Mus musculus: one gene and its partner. The protein of the gene in region 1 purifies or fractionates together with the protein of each later gene. This does not show direct contact. Links are inferred from orthologs where the notes say so. Each region holds a gene or a part of one and is shown on either strand. Other genes may lie near its edges.

Region 1 (5,133 bases):
ATGATTTCTAGGCACGCTATGCAGTAACGCTAGAAGGGAAGGAGTTCTCTGTGCAGCACAGCCTCCTGCTGGCTTCCCGCTATCAGCCAGTGAAAGGGACAGGCAGGGCTCACTCAGGGAAGTACTCAGGTCAGATAAAGTGACAACACCTCCAGACCCTGGCTCCTCATATCAGCACCATGCCCTGACCAGCTGAGCTAACCAGCCACCCCTGGCTCCTTAGAAAAGGATAGCAATTTGTTTATGTAAACAGCACAGAGGTTAAACAAAACAAAACAAAACAAAAACCTACTAAATACAAACAACAAAAACCCTAACCCAGATAACCTTTCCTGGCTACTACTGGAAAGAGTGTTGAATCCAAGTTTCCTGCTAACGTGAGTCTTAGTACTCAATCTGCCCATACGGATCTGCTGGGCCTCTTTCTGAGTTTAGACACAGCTGTAAAGTGTGTAGCTGCCAGCAAATGGTACAGAGCCTCTGGGGCAGAGACCTCCAGTATAACTGCTACCACCTTCCACTGTGAGAGTAAAGCAGCATTGTGAACACACTGTGGACTTTCTAAAAGACAAACGAGACGGAAGGCTCTACCATTTTCTCCCTCGAGAAGGACTGCGGAGGTGCTGTCTACAGCTACTCAACAGGTGTCTGCAGACCTTAGAACTTTCAGAAGCAACGTTAGCAGCAAGAGAGGAAAGGAGGGTGTTACGCTTTGGACTTTGAATCAGGCACTTAAATTGCTGGAGAGACATTCTGAACCAAATGTGAAACCTGGGTTGGAGTACTCATGACATAAGTGGTCTAATGACGGCGTTCAGAAGCAAAGTGGAGGGTGGGTGTGGGTGGAACCTCCATCCATCTTTCAGTGCTGACTTTCAAGATTTCTAAATGCCCTTAACCACAGCAATGGCAGCGGCGGAGACAGCAGCAGGAGCGGTTCTGTCGTGTCTGTTTTCTGTGTGTGTTCTTGTGGCTGACTGGAAGGTTTTGGTATCACACTGAGAAGGCTCCAAGATTCATCACATCTACTGCCCGGGGTCCATCAGATCCAAGTTGGAGCCAAACATCTTCACCAGCTGTTCTTCGTAATGTGAGATGTTCCTCTTCATGATGTCCATGCAGGGGCCCAGAAGCCTCTCAAATGCTTGAACATCCATAACTGCATTGTTAAAAAAGGTGTGGGAGAGAATGATTTGTTTACAGTAACAGTTTAAGTAATTTCCTGCATGCAACCCTTTTCCTAAACACACTACTCGCTCATGTTACAGGAGTGAACGTTAGAATACTGGGCACATGGGAAAAGGGGAAACGGGTGCTTCTGCATACTACAGCAGGAGGCATCTGGGTTGAAGATTAATGGCGGACAATGCTTGTCTTGTTCCTCCACAGGCCTGGCCACCTGCCTCCATCACTGCTGCTTTCATAGGCCTGTGTGCTTGTGTGTCTGTGTGCCTGTTTGTGTGCCTGTGTACCTGTTTGTCTGTGGGCCTGTTTGTCTGTGGGCCTGTGTGTCTGTGGGCCTGTGGGCCTGTTTGTGTGCCTATGTATCTGTTTGTCTGTGTGCCTGAGTGTCTGTATGCCTGTTTGTCTGGGAGTCTGTCTGCCTGTTTGTCTGTGTGCCTGTGTGTCTGTGTGTCTGTTTGTCTGTGTGCCTGTGTATCTGTGTGCCTGTGGGCCTGTTTGCCTGTGGGCCTGTTTGTGTGCCTGTGTATCTATGTGCCTGTCTATCTGTGGGCCTGTGGGCCTGTTTGTCTGTGAGCCTGTCTGCCTGTTTGTCTGTGTGCCTGTGTGTTTATGTGCCTGTGTGCCTGTCTGCCTGTGGGCCTGTCTTACTCACAGCCTGGATTCATTGCTCAGAAATGATTTCTAGGGTACTGGGGTAGAGCTTTAGTAGCACAGCATGTGCTTAGAATGTGCAAGGTTTTAAGTTCAATGCCCAACAACTCCCAGAGAGAGGGGGTGAGCTTTGCTATAAGAATTCATTTACACAAACTATCCAGACCTAGAACTGAACAAGAGTCATCAGAATAAGTCAGGCCAGTTACAGGAAAGACAATAAAACCCCTGTATATTAGTAATGCACAAAGAATTTTCTTTTCCATGTTTAGAATGTTTATTAGCCTATTTCAGCCATACATGATAATGGTTTTTATCATGGTATCTTCACACATGCATGATTTTGACCATGTCCATCCCTCACTACCTGCCGCCCACTCTCACTCCAACCCATCCCCCTTCTTCCCAGCTAGTTCCCACCCTGCTCTTCTGATTTCATGTCTTTTTGGGAGGAAGGGGGAGATAGAATTTAATCAGGATTATGTCTCCCTCCTCCAGCTGCCATTAGTTGCCTAAAGTTGGAGTAGGCCGTGGAAGCCCCTCACAAAGCTTTTTCTTACCTAAGCATTTGACATCTCCAACCGCGTAAGCGGAAGCAGCTCTGGGTTTGTTGGTGACCAGGGCAAGTTCTCCGAAGTACTGCCCCTTATGGCAATGGGCAATCTCGACCTCCTGGTTCCCTCCATTCTTGTTTGACTTGGTCTGCAACAAATAAAGAATATGATCCTGGCTGGCTCTAGGATCACAGATGGGCATGTCCAGTTGTGCACACTCAAATCATTTCTCAGAAAGTTCAACAAAACTACTAAGGAATTCGCATGCAGAAACTCTTGCCTGTACCCTGTAAACTTGGACAGGCAAATCTCTGTGACCTGGTACAACTGAAGGGTGGTTTTAGCTGGGTCTCCACCTAGGCCATAAGATGTTAGGTAAAGGCTAAGCATGCAGTGTCTTCTGTGGAGATCACACACTCTGGGAGATGTGACCAAAGCACGGCTGAAGCCCAATAAGGTCCCCTGCTAATTCTTCTGCTAGTCACGAGCCAAAGCACAAGAGCACTGGTTGGTTTGAGGCAGCCTTGGATGGTTTTGGGGGACAACATTTCTTTTAAAGAACTTTCTGCACTTCCACCAGAGCTGTGTCTCCATCCTTAACAAGCTGACTGCAGCCTTCAAACATCTGTGCTATGCTGCATCGCTACACTGGGATTGGTTTGGTTTTTTTCTTTCTTTTCTTTTTTTTTTTTTTTCCTTTTTGGTTTTGAGACAGGGTTTCTCTGTGTAGCCCTGGCTGTCCTGGAACTTACTTTGTAGACCAGGCTAGCCTCGAACTCAGAAATCCGCCTGCCTCTGCCTCCCGAGTGCTGAGATTAAAAGCGTGCGCCACCACCGCCCGGCTACACTGGGATTCTTATTTCTTATGAATCCATTTGCTAACAGTAACAACAAATTATGAGAATCAGCCTCTGGCTCTAAGAACCACGAATGTTATAAGCAGAAAAGCCCCTGCCCCAATTGGTAACATAGTCTCACTTTCTGGCTCTGGCTAGACTGAAACTAGTTATATACACTAAGCTAGCCCTGCCTCTTGAGTGCTGGGATTACAGGTATGCGCAACCATACCTGTCTAATTCTTTGTTACTTTACTTGTGTGTGCCTGTGTGAGCACGCGCAGATGGACTTTATTTGTGTGTGCGTGTGTGAGCACACACACATGCACACATGCACATGGGTACAGATATCCATGAGGTCCAGAGAAAATGTACTAAATCTTTATTAGTGGCAGTTCCACACCTCAGAGAGCGATGGCTTGGTATTCTTAAGTACAGGCCACACTATGCAAAGTAAACACTGGTGGGAGAACATGTACACAGCACACTCACACTCACCTTGCTTCTAATCAAGATGCTCACTTCCCCAGACTCTATGATATAGAAGCTGTCGGCCTTTTCACCCTGAAAAAGAGGAGGTTAGGTCAGACTCATGTCCAACACTGAAGACTGTCAGCACTGTCTGCTCTCAGACTCTATCTCCAAGTGCTCAAGTGGATCAATGGCTAACAAACTAAAGGTTTCTGATCAGTAAGGACATTAACCTCATTATGACTAACACTTCTCTTCCATCTTACACACTCATATTTATCTCCAGGAATATGCCCAGGTCACCAACTACACAGCATCTCTGCTCTGACTGCCTATGTTGGTGTGCCGAAACCCATTCAGGGGACCAGTAAACAAGAATACAGCAAACAGTGTCAAAGCAAGGCCCAGAGTATGAGGTGTAGGAATAACCTTGATCAACAAACACAGTCCTCCAGAAGAGAAAGGGAGAAAGCTCAAGCACTGCAAGCCAGGCACGATGACCTGAGGTTCAGAACCTGTTTGGGGAGGGAGTGCATGTCTGAAATCTCAGTGCTGGGGAGGCAGATGCCTGGGGTGGACTTTAGCAGGCTGCAAGCCAATTAAGAGGCCTTAGTTCTTTTGGGTTTTGTACCCCTCCCCTGCACTTCTTCTTCCCATAGGTTTCTCTGTGTAGCCATTGCTGGCTGTCCTGGAACTTGCTTTGAACAGCTTGATTCTGTCAAAAAAACAAAAAAAACCTGAAAGACTTCGGTGTTACGGTTTGGAGGTAAAATGTCTCCCAAAGGTCCATGCATTTGGTCCCCCTCTGGAGATACTTTCCTAGGAAGGTACTGAGCCTTGGGAACATGGGCCCAGCTCTGTCACTAGGAGTGGGTCTGCGTTTTGTGTTCTCTTTCTGACCACCACGCACTGACTTGTTCCTGCCAAGGATGAGCTGATACCCCTGAAACTGGGAGCAGAATAAATGGTCCCTTCCTTCAGGAAGGTGCTTCTGTCAGAAAATTAGTCACAGAGATAAGGAAAGGAAATGACAAGCCACTGGCAAGTCTGAGCAAGAAAAGAAGCACAAATATTATAAGGAATGAAGAAAAAAAAAAAAAGAACACCGGTCTATACACATACTACTGCAATGTCACAGATAGGACAGAACCAACTGCATGTGACGCAGACAGTATGTCATGCACTATGGTGCAAATGTGTAATAATGTGGAGAATGGCTTATGCTATGCTTTAAGCAGAACAAATGTGGGTTCTTTCTATACAGTTCATTGCCTTAGTAATTTTATATATATAATAAAATTTATAATATATTTATAATATAAATGTAAGCAAACTTTTACTTCTTAAAGCAAATATGGACGTTTCATGGTATTTGTGCTCTGTATACTCAAGGTGGGAATTGAGTTTGGCATAAACCTGTATAAAAAGCACTTGCA
Region 2 (5,677 bases), on another chromosome or scaffold:
TGGGGCAAAAGACGCCACATGCATGGCAGGGCTCCCAGCTGCCAGGCCACCATCATTGGTCTTGGTGGCCTCCCATGAGGCTGGGCCGTAACTATAGGGTGTTCCTGCAGGGACACTGGTGTTCTGGGCATTGTAGTAGTTGTAGTTTTCATAACCTATCAGGAGAAAGAAGAACCATGTTAGGCCTGAGCACATGAGGCTAGCCATGACATTCTTGTCTGCAGGAGCACTCTCTGCCCACCAAGAAGGAAAAAGTTATGGAACTAAGCATTACCAACATCATACCACAATACACATGTGATCAAGACCAGAGAGACAGGTGGCCACAGATTGTAGTAGCAGGTTTTCTTTAAGAGACAGAAGGACTTGTTTCCTAATCAAAGATGGCCAAGAACCTCAGAATAGCAATTCCAGGTACTAACAAAGACATTTGAAAAGTGTTCCTGCACTATATCCACAATCCCTCTCAAACAAGTTCAAACTCCCCTTCAGGTCAGCCTAGCTCTGATACGCCTCAGGGCCCAGCAGCCTTATTCTCCGGGCTATCGACAGAGCCATGTGCACAGCCAGGATGGGGGAGTGGGGACCTGTACCTCTGGATGGCTGTTTAAAGACTCACTTGCCCACCTCAAGGTCCCTTTCAGAAGGTCTTACCTTGCCAGCTGGTCATACCACTTCCATATGTACCTTAGGAAAAACAAAAACACATAAGCACTTCAATACCAGTTATTACCTAAGGACAGCTGCCACCTCATTGCACCACAAGGTGGGGTGTGACTGGTTGTGTCAGTGGTCCTTAGCATGCTCACGTTTTACAGAACAGGTACAAAGCACCAATAATATTTCTCTCCCAGGCAGGCCTGACTTCTCCCATGAAAGCTTAGAAAAGAAAGGTACACAGCAATCCCCAAGATGGTGGTCTACACTACAGTACTAACTGAGAGGACAGGCTGCACTGGACCTTAGAAAATCCCCTGCATAAATAAGCTCAGTTCTCACCAAACCTAGTTATTCCCAACCATACCTAAGGCATCAGTGGGAGTGGGAGGAAATCACATTCTCAACTGAATAAGAACATATTATGTGGCAGAGGTGTCTGGAAGACCTTTTCACGGGGCACACAAAAAAGTGGCTTGCCTCCAATGGTGCTAGGGACTTGGCCTGGGACAGGTTCTAGACTCAGAAAATAAGGGTGAACAAAAGCCTAGGCCACATCTAGCCTACTGTCTGTTTTTGTACTCTTGACTTAAAAACAGGTTTTATCTCTCTAAATGGTCACAAGAAAAGCACCCCAAGACAAACGTTCCACAATATGCTAAACATAATAGGAACGCACAGTTTGTGTATACAGACTAACAGGGGTGCATGGGTGCTACTGAGGCCTGTGGTGGCAGGTAGCAGAGTGACACAAGGAGCATTCTTCTTACTAATCAGCCTCCGCTCCCATGTAGTACTGTTTTTCCTTAAAAAGAAAAAAAAGGCAAAATGTCCCCTAGGGAAGACAGATGCTGGGCTCTACTACAAGGGGGCATGCAGTGGAGAAACCCACAAGCCAACCCATTAATCAGGAACCACTTACCCTGGGTGTTGGCAGGTCCAGCACTCCATGCCCCATAGCCTGTGAAAAGATCATGTGTCAAGATTCTGTCCTACCTCAAGGAAATAAGAGTTCTGATAACACCCAAAGAGTCTAAAGAAGTGTCAGCTTACAACGAGGGAACGTAAATGTGATCCAGCGCACCTCCTCCAGCCTTTAAGAACTATCTCCACCCACAAATGCAAGCAAACCATCATACCTTACCTGGCTGAGCTGACATCAAAGCAAAAAAAAAAAAAAAAAAAAAAAAAAAAAGGGGGGGGGGGTGGCGGGAGGGAGGGAACCAAGTTTAGAGGACACAAAACACAGCATTAGGTCACAGTGCCCACTGTACTGGCCTAGCCGCCACATAAGCGGGAAAGCTCAGAGTGCTGCCAGTTATGCCACGAAACTGGGAAACAAGCTAGAAATTCGGTGACATAAACGTTAGGCTTTGCTTCCATGTAACTAAACACTCAACACCCCAGCTTTCAAGCCTCCCTCTGACCTTCTAAGTCACCCCCTACAACACTCCTTTGAACAGAAAGGGAATACATTCTCTTCATTTGTGTTTTTGGAGCCTAGCATATAGTCCGATACAGTGGCACAGTCCCAGGCTGTCGAATGACTTCACTTTGACAGTGTTAATGGTTAGTTCCCTTTCCAGAATATCCCAAAAGCCCCACTGTAACACAGTCCCTTAAATGTGCTGACAGGCACTCAGTACGGCCATACCTAACTGCTACTTAGAAACCAGGGAGGGGCTGGCCAGATGGTTCAGTGGTTAATCGCGCTGACTGCTCTTCCGAAGGTCCCGAGTTCAAATCCCAGCAACCACATGGTGGCTCACAACCATCCCTAACGAAATCTGATGCCCTCTTCTGGAATGTCTGAAAACAGCTACAGTGTACTTACATATAATAAATAAATCTTAAAAAAAAAAGATTCTTTTTCTTCTTCTTCTTCTTCTTCTTTTTTTTTTTTTTTTTTTTGGTTTTTTGAGACAGGGTTTCTCTGTAGCCCTAGCTGTCCTGGAACTCACTTTGTAGACCAGGCTGGCCTCAAACTCAGAAATCTGCCTGCTTCTGCCTCCCAAGTGCTTGGATTAAAGGCATTCGCCACCACGCCCGGCTAAAAAAATTCTTAGTTAAAAAAACAAAAAAACCAGGAAGGCTGCAAATACCCTAACTGTATCTGTAAAATTATTGGCTGGTAGAAAGTGGGAGTCACCATGAAGTTCCCTAGACCAAAGAAGTATAGCAGGGTTGTGACAGGTATCTATCTGGTGGAAAGGCTAAGAATGGAAGACATAGATCTAGGATCCCAAAGGCAAAGAGCACTAGGCTGATACCCAAGCACACGTGTTCATCACACCTCAGGCCTCTCTGGCAAGTCCAATTCTAGGGATCTTGTTACTCTGCTGCCTCTCAAGATCCCTTCCTTAGCCGCCAGAAGCCACTAACCACTCCCTGTGCCCACTTCCAACCCCATTCCACATGTTCCAACTATCTCCTGCGGGTAAATCTCCGTACAGAGTCAAGGCCTCCCAGGAGATTAAAAGCAGATAGCTCGAGAACCGACGCCTAATTACGAAAAGTTGCTGACATTTAGGTTAGGAAAGGCAACGTTCCCGCTTCCGCAGACCCCCGTAATGTTACAGTCCAGAATCCCAGCCCCTCAGGCAGCACACCTCCCACGAGCACCTCACGCCGCGTACACTGCAGAGACCCAGCCAGGTTTTCCCAAAAAGCTGCACCGGGTGTAGCCGCAGTGCACAGCTGGGCCGATCGCGCGCTGCCCGTAAGCCTTCAGAAAAGCGAGCCCGGGGACACGAGCTCTCAAGGACGACCTGCGGAGGATGAGCTGAGACTCTCTCCTCGCTACGGCCGCCGCAACCCAGCCGGACCTCAACCCCCTCCACCCCCCGCTTCCTCAGCGTTCGCTTTAGCCCCGCCCCTGGAGCCGCCATTTTGTGGCGTCTTCGGAAGAGAAGGCGGGACTGAGACCGCTCGGGTCCTGGGGTCCCGCAGCGATGAGAGCCACTCGGCTTGCACAGTGAAAGCGGTCCAGAACGCATCCAGAAACCGGCCACAGCGTCGGCCTTCGCGCCTCATCCGCACCCCCCGCCCCGAGTCCTACCGGCCAATCCACGCGCGGCGCTTCGGGAACGATTGCGCAGAGGCCCAATAAGGGAAGCGCGCGCGTCCGGGACAACTCCACACAGAACCGGGCTGCGGCAAGTGCGTTCCGGCTGCAGGCTAAGCCCGAATACCACATGCGCCAGGGTCTCCCGTGGTGAAGAAGAGCCCACACTAACCTCCGTAGCCTTGCTCCATGTCTGCGACGCGACCCGCCAGCAGATCCTTGTCTTAGATTCGCTCAGAACGCATGCGTTCAACGTGCTGTCTGCTACTGGAAGACGAAGAGCGTACGTCTCTTTCTGGGCGCTACCATTGGTTGCTCAAATGGGCCCGCCCCCGCCGATCCGCCCAGCCTTCCGGGTTGCAAATCTACAGCATCTCGGGAGTTGTGCCTCAAGGGTAAGCTAGTGCGCAAGAGCGTCCAGGTCCGCGCACGCGTGAGCGGTTCTAGCGCGTTTACCCGCGCGCAGGCGCACTTCTAGGGGCCCGCCCTCACCACAGCACAAACGAAGACCTCAGATGGGAAAGCACTTTATTAGGCTGGACTTCCAGCCTCGGCCACGGGAGCCCTGCCGGGTAAGGGTTATGGACCCCCACCGCCCTCCTCGTCGTCTTCCATGTCGAGGCCCGGGATCCCGCGGATCTGACACTGCAGCGCTCCGCCCAGCAAGGGTACAGGGCTCTCCTCCTCTTCTGGTGGTGGCGGAGGTGGCGGTGTTGTAGTCCCTGGGGCGGGCTCCAGGGGCACGGGGGGCTGTGCCGGCACGCCCTCTGTGAGCTCTGTCGCTTCGCTTGGTGCCCCTTCATCCAGAGCGCCAGCCTCCACCTCGTCTTGTTCCTTTTCCTCCTCTGGGTTGTCAGTGAAAGGATTCTCGCCCTGTAGAGATGGATAGAGACTTTAATGGGAGGTAGGAATCACTGGGATAGAATGGGGACCAGGCTCACACAAAGGTCAGGACTAGGACAGTGCTTTCGCCTTTGCCTCACCTTCAGATATCGCTCCAGCTTCTTGCTAATGAGCTTGTTGTTGAGAATACTGCGGGCCACCATAAGCGAGGACTTCTTGGACTGCTCCATCATAAGCTATGGGCAGGGCAGACAGGGCTGGTGAGGCTGCTCTAGGAATCCAACAAACCCAGCTGAGGTTCAGATTCACCAATAACTAGTCCTAGTGTCTGTAAGTGACCTTGGGCGTAATTCCAGTCAGTCTGGACAGGCATGCAAGGAACTAGGATTCGATCTGATCACCCACACCTTATTTGCTGTTTGAAACCTGATCTGCTTACATAGAAACTATAGTAAGTACTGGACTTAGTGGCACAGGCCATGTAACTCCAGGACATTAAAGTGGAAGGCCTACCTGGACTACAGAGTTTAACGGTTTACATGGTTTGACTATGTCTCAGAAAATAAAAGACGGCTGGGAGCTAGAGAGATGGCTCAGCGTAAAGGACTTGTTAGTATTTCAAAGACTCAGGTTCATTTTCTGCCACCTACAAGGTGGCTGACAACAATCTCTAATCTAGTTCCCAGGAATATGAAGCCCTCTTCTGGTTACCACAGGCACCAGGCATGTGAATAGTGAGCATATGTGCAGGCAAAACATACAAGAAAATAAAAAATAAAAAAATAAAACGTAAAAAGGGGGAGGGGGCCAGCTGGAGATAATATAATAATTTGATGATAGAGTGCTTTCTTAGTATTCTTAAAGCCTTAGTTAGGTTCAATCCCCATATATATACACACACACCAGATGTAATAAAACTTATTAAAAGTAAAACGTAGGGCTGGGCTTGGTGGCCCATATCGTTAATCCCAGCACTTGGGCGGCTGAGGTAGGAGGGCAGATCTTCCTGAGTTCAAAGCCAGCCTGGTCTCAGAGCAAGTTCCAGGACACAGAAAAACCTTCACTGCCACCCCCCTCCCCTCAATTCCAGTGACAACAAAAAAAGTAAAATGT

Evidence for each region. Proteins that work in one complex are often made in the same cells at the same time.
Region 2: the proteins of Prkar2a (region 1) and Akap8 purify together in Homo sapiens (affinity purification with western blotting; 3 studies listed by BioGRID and IntAct, with this or other methods). This does not show direct contact. The link is inferred for Mus musculus from reciprocal best matches to the Homo sapiens genes PRKAR2A and AKAP8.

The regions. Positions count from the first base shown.
Region 1 is NC_000075.6:108,742,887-108,748,019, reverse strand, and holds part of Prkar2a (cAMP-dependent protein kinase type II-alpha regulatory subunit), read right to left. Parts: intron 3,791-5,133; coding exon 3,725-3,790; intron 2,539-3,724; coding exon 2,397-2,538; intron 1,160-2,396; coding exon 1,026-1,159; 3' UTR 1-1,025. UniProt on the Homo sapiens protein: Regulatory subunit of the cAMP-dependent protein kinases involved in cAMP signaling in cells. Type II regulatory chains mediate membrane association by binding to anchoring proteins, including the MAP2 kinase.
Region 2 is NC_000083.6:32,317,192-32,322,868, forward strand, and holds the start of Akap8 (A-kinase anchor protein 8), read right to left. Parts: upstream 4,048-5,677; 5' UTR 3,913-4,047; coding exon 3,894-3,912; intron 3,865-3,893; exon of another isoform or gene 3,716-3,864; intron 3,674-3,715; exon of another isoform or gene 3,267-3,673; intron 1,619-3,266; coding exon 1,580-1,618; intron 688-1,579; coding exon 655-687; intron 156-654; coding exon 1-155. Other genes in the region: Akap8l (A-kinase anchor protein 8-like), read right to left, coding at 4,301-4,594, 4,705-4,800. UniProt on the Homo sapiens protein: Anchoring protein that mediates the subcellular compartmentation of cAMP-dependent protein kinase (PKA type II).